3 linked regions of the Ovis aries genome follow. Each later gene encodes a partner of the first gene's protein in a complex. Links are inferred from orthologs where the notes say so. Each region holds a gene or a part of one and is shown in the gene's direction. Other genes may lie near its edges.

What was found. The genes of interacting proteins can lie anywhere in the genome.
Region 2: POLR3D (region 1) and POLR3E share a complex: the UniProt entries of both Homo sapiens proteins name them as parts of the RNA polymerase III complex. The link is inferred for Ovis aries from reciprocal best matches to the Homo sapiens genes POLR3D and POLR3E.
Region 3: POLR3D (region 1) and POLR3K share a complex: the UniProt entries of both Homo sapiens proteins name them as parts of the RNA polymerase III complex. The link is inferred for Ovis aries from reciprocal best matches to the Homo sapiens genes POLR3D and POLR3K.

What each region holds. Positions count from the first base shown.
Region 1 is NC_056055.1:43,365,486-43,369,455, reverse strand, and holds the start of POLR3D (DNA-directed RNA polymerase III subunit RPC4), read left to right. Parts: upstream 1-1,164; 5' UTR 1,165-1,305; exon of another isoform or gene 1,306-1,357; intron 1,358-1,545; 5' UTR 1,546-1,550; coding exon 1,551-1,715; intron 1,716-2,685; coding exon 2,686-2,729; intron 2,730-3,970. UniProt on the Homo sapiens protein: DNA-dependent RNA polymerase catalyzes the transcription of DNA into RNA using the four ribonucleoside triphosphates as substrates.
Region 2 is NC_056077.1:20,517,778-20,521,859, forward strand, and holds the start of POLR3E (DNA-directed RNA polymerase III subunit RPC5), read left to right. Parts: upstream 1-1,282; 5' UTR 1,283-1,408; intron 1,409-4,082. UniProt on the Homo sapiens protein: DNA-dependent RNA polymerase catalyzes the transcription of DNA into RNA using the four ribonucleoside triphosphates as substrates.
Region 3 is NC_056077.1:658,992-663,146, reverse strand, and holds the start of POLR3K (DNA-directed RNA polymerase III subunit RPC10), read left to right. Parts: upstream 1-1,355; coding exon 1,356-1,466; intron 1,467-2,795; coding exon 2,796-2,883; intron 2,884-3,745; coding exon 3,746-3,873; 3' UTR 3,874-4,155. Other genes in the region: SNRNP25 (U11/U12 small nuclear ribonucleoprotein 25 kDa protein), read right to left, coding at 65-170, 373-463, 908-1,198, 1,280-1,357. UniProt on the Homo sapiens protein: Core component of RNA polymerase III (Pol III) which synthesizes small non-coding RNAs using the four ribonucleoside triphosphates as substrates. Can mediate Pol I proofreading of the nascent RNA transcript.

The sequences.
Region 1 (3,970 bases):
CCCCAAGACTTAGCTACTGAGTCACCAGGGTAGTCCCTCTGCACTATTGCATACAACTACTCATGTATCTACTATTACTTCAGAGCAAAACAAACAAAAAATTAAAGTACATCTTCTTTTGACCACTTATCGCCAAGTCTAGAAATTTGTCCTAGGAATAGAACCCGAAAGACTAAAGTACTTTAAAGGCACCAGATGTTCAAAACAGTGGTATTTACAACAGGAAAAAAGAACCATTTTGTGTCCAAACAGCGACACAGGCAAATCATGACACAGCCACCCAAGAATTATGCAGTTGTTTGATACAGCCACAAAGAAATGTTATTTGAAAAGGGAGGATTCAAAACTGTGGTACAATATGAAATCTCTGTGATGGGGCTGGAATATATTGCAAAAGTTTTAATAGTTACTCTGTGTGAAATTCTAACTAATGTTTCCCTTCCCTCAAGCTATCTCTAAAGTTACAGGTTTGGGAGGGGAGGGAACGATAGTAAAGGACATTTTTTATGTTTAATTACAAACGTCAGAGTCACGATGAAAGTTCTTTAAATCTATCCCTCCCAGTAGAACGAACTTCGTTTTTCAGGTTCCAGGATTGGAACAAGCGTGTATACAAGGACCCAGAGTCATGAGCCTAGGGCAGGTGCGATTGAGGCACCCCCCTCAACCGCTGCAGCTGCTCCAGCACTGTGCTCACGGCCCCATGTCCACAGCCCCACCCCAGGACCCCACCAGGAGTCCGACGAGGAGATCCCCCAAAGAGAATGAGGACGCAGCCCGGAGGTGCAGTGACCACTCCAAGGTCATCATCAAGCCGGCAATCGAGGCTCGGCCGGGCGCAGCCTAGAGCTCCAGGACTCTGAGTCGGGGTCTCGCAATCTGCCTCGCATCCCCACCCCATCCCGAGTCTCGACCCGGAGGCTCCCCAGCGACGAACTCCCACGTTGCGTCCAGATTGCCTCTCGGCCCCCAGATCTGAGCTGTGCGCCCCCACCTTATGCCCGGGGCCAAGACCTCGCGAACGTACCCTTCCCCTAGACCCTTCCCCTCTTCCTTTTTCGCCCTCTCAACCCAGCTTTTCCCGACTCCGGGAAGAACCGGGAAGAGAAGGCGGAGGCGAGCGAGACGCCGCGGGATAAATACTGTGGCCCGGCCCCGCCCACCGACATCACTTCCGCCCCGCGACAAGATGGCGGCGCCCCGGCCCTGCCACGCAGACTTCCGCCTGGCGCCGAGACTGGGAACCCGCTGCGCGTCGCGTCGGAGGTGAAATCGGGACACGCGTGGTGTGGAACTACATCCTAGGTGCGGAGGGGTGCGTCTTTGCCTCGTGCCTGGCCGGGGGCCTGGAGAGAAGGCGAGCCAAGGGCCCTAGCCGGGGTGTTCGGGGGAGTCCCGCCACGTGGGAGGGGGAGGAGCTGAGTCTCTGCCGGAGGGACGCGCCGACTCGGGGGGCGGGAGGCCACGTGGGTGGGGTTCCGCTCAGGGTCCGCGAGTCCTTCTCCCTCGAGTGACTTCGTTACCCCTTTTCGCCTTCTTTCTCAGGCATCATGTCGGAAGGAAACGCCGCGGGCGAGCCCAGCGCTCCGGGAGGGCCCCGACCCCTCCTTTCTGGGGCGCGGGGGCTTATTGGGCGAAGGCCGGCACCTCCCCTCACCCCGGGCCGCCTTCCCTCCATCCGCTCCAGGGATCTTACCCTCGGGGGAGTCAAGAAGGTACCCGACGGCACCTTTCTAAAGAAATCCAGCTACGCTGAATTCCAGGCACTTGGGGGTTTGACTGTAGGGCCTACTGTGTGCCAGGCGTGGTGCTGGGCCTTGCGAATCTTGTCTTCAGACTTCCGCCTGCAATTTTTGGGGAGCCTGCCCTACCTTCAAGTCAAGATACTGGGTCCAAGATGTTGACATGGCTCTCAGAGATGGCTGAATAGCAGAGAATCCTAATTAGCTCAGAAGCAACTTGAGCAGGGTTTATTTCCTTTTGGTGTGTCTTGGATACCTTTCAGAAACCCATGAAAGCCACGCAGACATAAAGTTTGCCTGCAATTTAAGAGAGTTCTGAATTTGCCCTGGATCCCAGTGTGCAGACTTCTGGTCCAAAGTATTGAGTCTTAGGTGTGATAGTAGAGCCTCTGTGTCTTATATTATGTTTGTGACTGTAGATGTGACGGGTAGACTGTAAAGAGAATGGGGAGGATGATAGAGCATAAAGCAGCCAGTTTTTGAAGGCCTCAGTTTCCCTTTGTAAATTCTGGTGGCAGTCTAACCCAATCATCAGTTTGTGAGTGCTGGCAGAACTGTCTTTCCCATTTGAACCTTGCTGGTAGAGCTCATCCTCTATAATACTGTCTGGTCTTAGCAATTTGAAGATGAAGTGTGAGAGTAGGTAAATTCCTCTGCTGTTAGAGTCCTGAGGGTTGTCCTTTCAGGAGGCAGAAACTGAGGCTGCCATTTAAATGTTTTTTGATGCCCCCTTCTATATATAGCTTCACCGTTGCCTTGGCATGACATTCCTCCTTTTCAAGCACCTGTCCATTTCAGTAAATCTTTGACAACAGTATGGAATGTGCCAAAGAGAGCCATATTGGTCTTCATCCATGGAAGATGCCCTTTGGAAGTTTTTCCTTTCCTCTGTACTTTGGGACCAGAATTTACCAAATCAGTGACTCCTGTATTTTACTTTCAGAAAACCTTCACCCCAAATATCATCAGTCGGAAGATCAAGGAAGAGTAAGTAGCTAGGCCTCCTGAATCCTCGCGCCTTGTTTGTGCGTCTGTGCTCAGTCACTTGCTTGAGTCTGACTCTTTGCCACCCCAGGGACTGTAGCCCGCCAGGCTTCTCTGTCCGTGGGATTCTCCAGGCAAGAATACTGGAGTGGGTTGCCATGCCCTTCTCCAGGGGATCTTCCCAACCCAGGGATGGAACCTGTATCTCTTGTGTCTCCTGCATTCTTTACCACTAGTGCCACCTGGGAAGCCTTGCCCCTTTGTTTACTTGCTCTGAATTTGGACTTTGGGGAAATAACTAAGTAGGTGGCTCAGAAGTTTAAATTTGTAGATTTAGTTCTTTGCAGTAGTGATTAGCGACCCTGGCTCCCAGGTGATTCTAATGTGCAAGCTTTAAAAAAATACTGATGCCTGGGAATCCATCCTTAAAATTGTTTTAACTTTTTTGCAGTGAAACAGTGATTATCTTTTTTATTTAACTTTTAATTTTTTATTGGGGTGTAGCCATTTAACAGTGTTGGGATAGTTTTAGATTAACAGTGAAGGGACTCTGCCATATATATACATGTATCCATTCTCCCCCAAACTCCCCTCCCATCCAGGCCTCCACATAACATTGAGCAGAGTTCTATGTGCTATACAGCAGATCCTTGTTGGTTATGCATTTTATTTATTTATTTTTTTGGTTATACATTTTAAATACAACAGTGTGTACAAGCAGCCACAAGTTCAATTTCTAAGTCTGTAAGTCTTTTTCTGTTTTGAAGTAAATTCATATGTATAATTTCTTTTTAGATTCCGCATATAAAGGATGTCATACAATTCTCCTTCTCTGCCTGACTTACTTCAGAGAGAGATTATGTTTTATAGCCAGAGTTGAGAGCCAATAGTTTGGGCAGAGATGGGTCAGGTTTTCCTTTTCGTTCTTTTGCATTGCAACTTTCCCACTTTCAGTCGATACCAAAAAAAAAAAAAAAAAAAATCCACATTTGGGGGCAATCTCTATAATTCACCTTTTGTGGTATAGTTCTAGTATACACTCTTCGAAAAGGTAAAGTACAGTAAACTGAAGGACTCTGCCTCATCAAGGAAGTGAAAAACGTGCTAGACCACCCACACAGGTGGGTACTGTGCTTCTCATGATATAGTTGTTGGCTCATAAACTCCCCTCCGGTGGAGCAGAGTGGTGTGGGAGAGTAAGACCAGTTCTCGGACGCAGGTGACGTCAGTAGTTTCCCTTGACC
Region 2 (4,082 bases), on another chromosome or scaffold:
TAAATACTCAGTTCAGTTCAGTTCAGTTCAGTCGCTCAGTCGTGTCCGATTCTTTGCGACCCCATGAATCGCAGCACGCCAGGCCTCCCTGTCCATCACCATCTCCCAGAGTTCACTCAGATCACGTCCATCGAGTCAGTGATGCCATCCAGCCATCTCATCCTCGTCCCCCCTTCTCCTCCTGCCCCCAATCCCTCCCAGCATCAGAGTCTTTTCCAATGAGTCAACTCTTCGCATGAGGTGGCGGAAGTACTGGAGTTTCAGCCTCAGCATCATTCCCTCCAAAGAAAGCCCAGGGCTGATCTCCTCCCGAATGGACTGGTTGGATCTCCTTGCAGTCCAAGGGACTCTCAAGAGTCTTCTCCAACACCACAGTTCAAAAGCAATAAATACTACTAGTATGATTAATATTTATATTTATGTAAAATCCATAACAATAAAAACAAACTACCTATTTCTATGGATATATCTATCCACGTGAATATATCCATATATATTCACATAAATTCACAATAGAAGGTCCAGAAGGAAACGCAGTGTACTAAGCTGTATAACGGTTACCTCTGAGGAAGGGACTTAGAGACCGAAGGTAAAAGAACATTAGTACCTTATCTACAAAGTTTTCATATTTTGCAATAATTCACATATTATCTGTGTAACTAAAAATTAAAACACATAATTTTAGAGAAAACTGCCTACACCAGTCCACGGGTTTGGCTTTCGGAAGCCCTGGTGCGGGTTACTGCCGAAATCCATCGTTTATTCCCGTGTGGGTTAACCTGCTTAACGTGTTAAACGTCCTACTCAGAAAACAGATTCTTAAACTGTTCTAAGATCTGTTCGGAAGAAGTGTGGGTCTAATTACTGGAGAAAATATTTTATTTTTAGTAGCCAATACTTTCTAAAATAGTTCTATAGGGATGAAGTAAAACATATAGCAAACAATCAGAAATTAAGTGTACTTGCATGTAAATGCATTAAATAGCTTTCTGGAAGGCCCCACTCACAACTGGGTAGCGTGGCCGAGCGGTCTAAGGCGCTGGATTAAGGCTCCAGTCTCTTCGGGGGCGTGGGTTCGAATCCCACCGCTGCCAGAGTGAGCTTTTTGCCCCTTGCTACCTCCTCACCAGCTGTTTTGCTACTGCGTCAGCGCCCCCTGCTGCCAGGCCAGGGCTGGCCGCCCGTATGAATGGAGCGGCGGAGGGGGCGGGTCCGCGCGCGCCGGGGCGGGGCATTGTGGGTAAAAGGAAGCGCTAGGGCCCGCCCCTCTCGCTCCCCCCACGTGTCCGCCCGAGTTTCTCCACCGGCAACATGGCCGCTGCCTGAGAGGAGAGTCTGGCCACTGCCGCTTCTGCAGCCCGCGGGTACCTGGGCCGTTGCTGCGCCCGCGTGCGGGCCCCGCGGAGAGGTGAGTGCCGTCTTGGCAGTACCCACCCGTGCTGGAGCCGGGCCGTACTCACGAGGTGGGCTTGGGCGGGGCTGCTGAGTAGGCCGGGAGGCCCGCGCCGCGCGGTGCCCAGGGGCCGGGGGCCTCTTAGGACTCCCGCGGGAAGGACGGGCAGCCTGCCCCAGGAGACCCGGGCCGGCCACAGGCTCCGACCTCGCCTCGCCGTGGCAGTCGGTGACGCCAAGGCCGAGGCTACCGGCGGTGACTCAGGGTCCCGCCGCTTTGCCCCACCCGGCTCAGGCCGGCCTCCTGTGGGAGCACCTGTCCGAAGGCAGCCGGTGTCCTGCCGGCGTGGCGGCTCGTGGCAGTGGCTGTGTGGTGGGCGTGAGAAGGGGGCCTGACCACCCGCGAGGGAGGCGAAACCCATTGGACAGTGTGGCGCGGGGCAGGCGGCCCGCCCCGATGGGCAGGGGGAGGGTGTCCGGGGCCCCCTCCTCGCCGCCGAACCGGATCAGCTCGAGTCCGGCTAGGCCTGGAATTCTCCATTCATTTATTCCAGCCACCCTTCAGTGCTAATTGGGAGCCAGCGACGTGCGGCCGATGGGGCCGGCCCTGAAGATTTGATCAGACGAGGTGTCAGTAAGCACGTCAAGTAAACCAGTAAATAAAAAAAGTCATTTTGTTGTGTTAGCTTTAGAATCATTGGAGGGCAGAAAAAGGAGAGCTTAAAGCAGTTGTCACGGTTTTCTTCATCTGTGAATTGGGGGTAAGAGGATTCCCCCGCCTCCTAGGGCTGTGATGAGAGCTAAATATAGGGTAAGACGGGAGAAGCGCCAGGTTGTAGTGTTTGTTTCGTGGCTCTGTCTCCTGCCCTTTTATATTGGAAGAAAACATTGTGCCGAGTAAGTAACAAACCTTCCCAGGGATTACGTTTCTACTTTACTTAATCTTCACAGTTTTCTGAGGTTGGTACTTTTGTTAATACCCATTTTTGGGGTGAAAATAGTGAAGATCAAACGATGCTAGACGGGGTAGAGGTACCAGAGGGCAGACCTGGGATTTGAACCTGTGCAGTTTCACTCTAGAGTCTAGGCTTTTACCCACTACACCATCCTGCCTTCCACTAAGGGAGCTCGCAGCATAGTCGTTAAGAATGAGAATAAGGCTATTTGACATCAGCTAGACCCAGGTTTGTGGCTTAGCTCTGCCTTTCTCTGGCACTGTGACCTTGGGTAAGTTACTCTCTGAACTTGAGTTTCCTCTTCTGTTAATTGGGGATGGTATCAATACATCCTTACTTAGAGAGCTATTGGACAGATTACATGAGGATGAATATATTAAGTCCTTAGAGAAGGGAGGGTCTTATGAGTTAAGAATTAATTCTTTTTGCCTCTAGGCCACCTCTCTCCTTGCATTGAGGTGGAAACTGAAGTGACTCAAAAAGGGGAGATGCCTTGTCGAAGGGGCACACAGCCAATAAGAATCCAGACTTTGAGACTGTTTACCCTGGGCCCCTTACCCCTTAATTCAGTTTTGTGTTGTCTCTCTCCTTCCAGTAGCTGGAGACTGTTTTTCCGTTGGCCTCTGTTTTTCTGATTGGCCTACAGGTTAGACTCCTGGGTGACCCAGCTGTGGCCTTCAGGCATCTTCTCTGCTCTGGACCCTCCCTTAGATTTACCTTGTCCCCTTTCCTTTGTTGAACAGTCCCCTGGTGGGGATGTTTTCTGTGCCCAGTGCTTGGAGCCGCTGCCATAGAGTATCTTTGTGGTCACAGGAAACCCTCTTGAGGTCAAGGTGGTCACTGCTGCCTTGAGGTGGTGGCCTGGAAGTGCAGACCACACCCCTGTCCTCAAGTGTCCAGGAGGCCCGAACTGTAAGGCCACCAGTCTCTGGATGGGGCTGAATTAGGATCACTGGGTAAAGGGTCTGTCACTGCCTGATCTCATGCACTGATTTACTCAGTCTTTGTACTATATTAAGTGTTTACTTCACTGTTCTAGATATTGGGAGAACAGCATGAATTTTTAAAAAGATAATAATGCCCGTATCAACTCCACAAAGTAAATTAAATCATCTCTGTTTTATGGTTGAAGCACAGAGGGTGCTCATGGAGCATACATTCTAGTGCAGAAGACAGACAACACATAAGCAAATAGACCAACTAGGTAATTCCAAGTTATAATAAGAACCATGAAAGAAATAAAACAGGGATTTGGTAGTGACTGGAACGGGTGAGGGGTGGGGGCCTTTAAGGTGACTGGTCAGGGAAACTTGTCTGTTCCTGGAGGAAGTGGGATGGGTGATATCTAGTGAAAAGGAGCCAGCCTTTTTTGAAAAGACCTGAGGAAAATAGATGATGTGCAAAGTTCCTGAGACTGGCTGGGGCTTAGCTTGTTGGAGGCCCAGCAAGATCATATGGGACCTTGGGGCCATGGAAAGGAATTTGGATTTTATCCTATGTGACAGTTGAAGAGTTTTGAATGGGGGAATGATAACTTTCCTTCCAAGGAGCAAGGGTCTTTGAATTTCATGGCTGCAGTCACCATTTGTGGTGATTTTGGAGCCCAAGAAAAGAAAATCTCACTGCTTCCACTTTTTCACCTTGTATTTGCCAGGAAGTGTTGGGACAAGATGCCGTGATCTGTTTTTGAATATTGAGTTTTAAGCCAACTTTTTCGCTCTTTCACCCTCATAA
Region 3 (4,155 bases), on another chromosome or scaffold:
CGTGTCCGGCACATCCTCCCCGTCTCCCAGGAAGGGCTGAGGGAGGAGCCGAGGCTCCACTCACCAGCTGATGTGCTGAATGCCTCCCTCGCGCTCCTGCCTGAGCTGCACGTATCTCTGGATGGCCTTCTTCAGGTCCAGGACCGTGGCGTTCTGGACTACAACCACAGCTGCACAAGCAGAAGATCCCCAGCGTCAGGTGGCAAGAGGAGAGCCCAGAAGCTCTGTAACTTCCCAAAGCTCAAGTCTGGGCAGGTGTGGGTGTGCCCAACAGGCCTGGGCACAGCCCGGAGTTCCCACCCACCAGCTCTGCTAACATCCTCTCCTGTGAAGGTTCAGACTGCTCTGCCAGAGCGGGAGGGCAGCACTTACGCATAACTTCTCCATCCATCTTGCACACTCGCACTGTCATTGCTTGGCCGTATTCTAATGCTATTTGGGAATTAACTTCTTCTAAAGTAACCTGGAAAAGACCAAGGATGGAGGTGGGAGCTCTCTTCACCACCCAAAACAACAAAGGCAGACAAGCTGACAGCGTTTATAAAGTTAGGCAGAACCTTCCTGAAGTCTGAGGAGAACGGAAAATGGGAAACATCGATCTTTTACTTTTTACTTGAAAATTACATTATTTCTGCTTACCCCAGGCTTCTGCACACCAATTTCTGGTTGTTTTTAAAACACTGCTGACATGTCAAATGTCCTGACCAGTCGGTTTTTCGGCGCCCCTTTAAATTTCGCACCCGAGGCCAAAGCCTCGCTCGCCTCCAGGCCCGGCAGGAGCCTTCTGCCTAGACGCTCCGCTACGCTCGGAAACGCCTTCCCCAGGCCGAGGCCGCAGCCCCCAGCGGTCCTAGGGTCCGTCCGCGCCCCGACCCCCGCCCGGGGGAACGACGCGGCCCCCGCGCACCTGGATCGGAAGGTCGCAGAGCAGCGGGTCTTGCACAACCATGGCCAGGCCCTCCTGGAACACGTCCACCGCCTCGGAGTGCGGCAGCGCCTCCTCCTCGTCCTCCTCGTCGTCCTGCGGCTCCGGCCGCGCCGCCACCCGCGGCTCCTCCAGGGCGCCGGGCTTCCCGCCGGCCCCGCCCGCACAGCTGGTCCGCGCGACAGAGGTGGTCGCGCACGCGCCGGGAAGGCTACTATATCCCCACCGTCGGGCGTCGGGGGCGGGGCCACTCGAGGACCAATGAGAGATGAGCTACTGGGAGCCGGCCCGCCACTGCTCTCCCTGGGGGCGGGGAGGCGGCGTGATTATTGGTGGGCTGGCAGGGGGCGGGGCGGGGACCACGGGGCGCTGGGAACGCCGGCGCCGTGCTGCCGCGGGCGCTGCCGGGAGCGCCGAGCCTGTGGCGGCCATGCTGCTCTTCTGCCCGGGCTGCGGGAACGGGCTGATCGTCGAGGAGGGCCCGCGCTGCCACCGCTTCGCGTGCAACACCTGCCCCTACGTGCACAACGTCACGCGCAAGGTGGGCGCGCGCGGCGCGGAGGCCGACGCTCTCGCGAGGCGCCCGCGCGACCCGGGCCTTCCCCGCCTCCTTCCCCGCCTGGACCGGCGTCCTTTGGGCCCTGCCGGCCGCCCCGTGGCGCTCCGCCCGCCGCGCGCTGCTCCGGGGGCCTGTGTAGGGCTTTTGCGCCCGGGTCGCTCTTCCCCTCTGTACCCGTGTCACTCGTCGCTCGTGCTTTTACCCGGAGGATTATTTAAAATTGCAGCCTCTTTCTCCACCTCGCCCTTCTCCTAATCTTATTTTTTTAATAGGACTCGTTTGCCTTCCATTGCGGTTTATAATTTACTTGTGCGCCTGGTTTGTTAACACTAGGGTATACATTTTTCAGTTTTCGTCCCCTCTTATGTTCTAGTCTGAACATCTGGGATATATTGGGTATTCAGTACGGAGTGATACATACTGTGTTATAACTCAGTTGTAACTCAGATGTTACTTTCCGTCGATAATGCCTCTTTCCTTTTTAGAACACCTTTAATAATTTTTAGAAGTAGAGCACGCTGGTGTTGCTGCTGCTAAGTCACTTCAGTCGTGTCCGACTCTGTGCGACCCCATAGACGGCAGCCCACCAGGCTCCCCCGTCCCTGGGGTTCTCCAGGCAAGAACACTGGAGTGGGTTGCCATTTCCTTCTCCAATGCAGGAAAGTGAAAAGTGAAAGGGAAGTCGCTCAGTCGTGTCCGACTCTTCCCGACCCCATGGGCCGCAGCCTCCCAGGCTCCTCTGTCCTTGGGATTTTCCAGGCAAGAGCACTGGAGTGGGTGCCATCGCCTTCTCCGGTGTTACCTCATTAGTTTATATGCTGCTCCACCATGTAGCAGTGCTGTGGGAGTTTAGAGTCTGAAATTATGAAGGGTGACATTTCAAGGACGGCTGGTAAAACCTGGAAAATAGTTAGAAAAAGCTCTGTCTGGGCAGAGTGGCTGGGCCACCCTGCCAAGTGCTCCACTTTGGCCTTAGTCGTCTTTGGATGTCTTATTTCAGTGACCAAGTATTGTAGAGGTGGGAGAACAAGAGGGTCACACCAGCGCCGTTTTTCCTTTCCTGCTCAGTTGCTTCATCCAGTCCTCACAGAATCTTTTTATGGGGACATCCCAATTGTGGATCCTCCTGATTCTCATGGAGATTCCTGCTCGGTGACAGCAGGAATTGTGCTTTCCTTTAGTATTCCTCCCTTCATGTTGAAGGCAGGAAGCAGAGTCTGGGCTGATACTTGAAGGCATGGTTTGGTGACCTGGCTTTGTACTGGTCGCTTCCTGGGAGAGTCTGAAGACCTGCTGTTTGTTGTTTGTTAGGTAACAAATCGGAAGTATCCAAAGCTGAAAGAAGTGGATGATGTGCTTGGTGGAGCAGCTGCCTGGGAGAATGTTGACTCTACTGCAGGTGAGAGAGAAAACCTTTCCTGTTTCAGAGCTTTGGGTAAGGGTGCAGCCAGGAGCTGTAGGTAAGGATGAGGCCGCTGGCTGTGCCACTGCAGAGCAGAGTCTGTGATGTATCAAGTGGGCTTCTGAGACTAGAAACTGTTTTCTTCTCTAATGTATTTGTTGCGCAGACAGTATTGGCACAAGCTTTGGAGTGATTCAGACCTGAGTTAGTCTCAGGGTGATCTCATATTGATGCTGATGGGATTAATTAAAAAATCAGTGTAAGGATTCTGTTCTAATATAGTTTTCTTTTAAAGTCAAAGGTAAAGAGTATTAAACTGCCCTAAATATTCTGTGAAGTAAGTATTTGAGTCTTGATTCATCTCTGATAGTGACAGATGTGACCCAGGAAGGAAAGAGAGCCCTCGACACGACCAGGCCAGAGAGGAGGAGGAGCTCAGGGCGATTAGTACTGTCTTTTTACCCCAGAGGGGGCCGTCCAGATTTGCTCTGTTAAAAATCTCTCATGGGCAGAATTTGTCACTGGGAGGTGAATTACACACCAAATAGTGTCTGAGTGTTTGAAGGAGTTTTCATCAAGAGCAAGGTTCTTGAATTGAAATCTCGGTGAAAGTAAAATTAAAAAAGAAAAAAGTACAATCAAGATCACAGGTCTCCTTCCCTCAGTTGTGAGAGCACCGTGGGAATGACACTCCTTTGCAGGAAAACCTTGCAGGGCACCTCAGGCGACGGATACTAGTTGAGCTGGGGAGTGTCTGCTGCTGTGTTTCATGAAATGTCCACTTTTAACAAGCATGTTGATCATGAGGATCGTTTGTTTTTTTTAGTAACCGTGGGTCACTGTTTGTTCTTGTTGCCAGAGCCGTGTCCCAAGTGTGAACATCCTCGAGCCTATTTCATGCAGCTGCAGACCCGCTCTGCAGATGAGCCCATGACCACCTTCTACAAGTGCTGCAGCGCGCAGTGTGGACACCGCTGGCGGGACTAAGGGCGGGGTGGCCCAGCTGCGTCAGCGTCTGCGTGCTTTACTGTCCAGGGTGCATTCCCAGCTGCGAGTGGGAACTGCGTGTCCTGAGGGTCTTGGCTGGCGTGGTGGAAAGCTGACCCTTTAAGGGTGGCTGCCCGGGGAGTCAGGAAGTCCAGCCCGCCTCCCAGTCAGCAGATTAACTCCTTGATGCTCAGAATGTCCAGATTCTGCCCATGCTGTGTGTGGACGGGAGTATCCGTCCCTGAGTGCACCCTGCTGAGGTCCTGCTCTTCCTCTTTCATG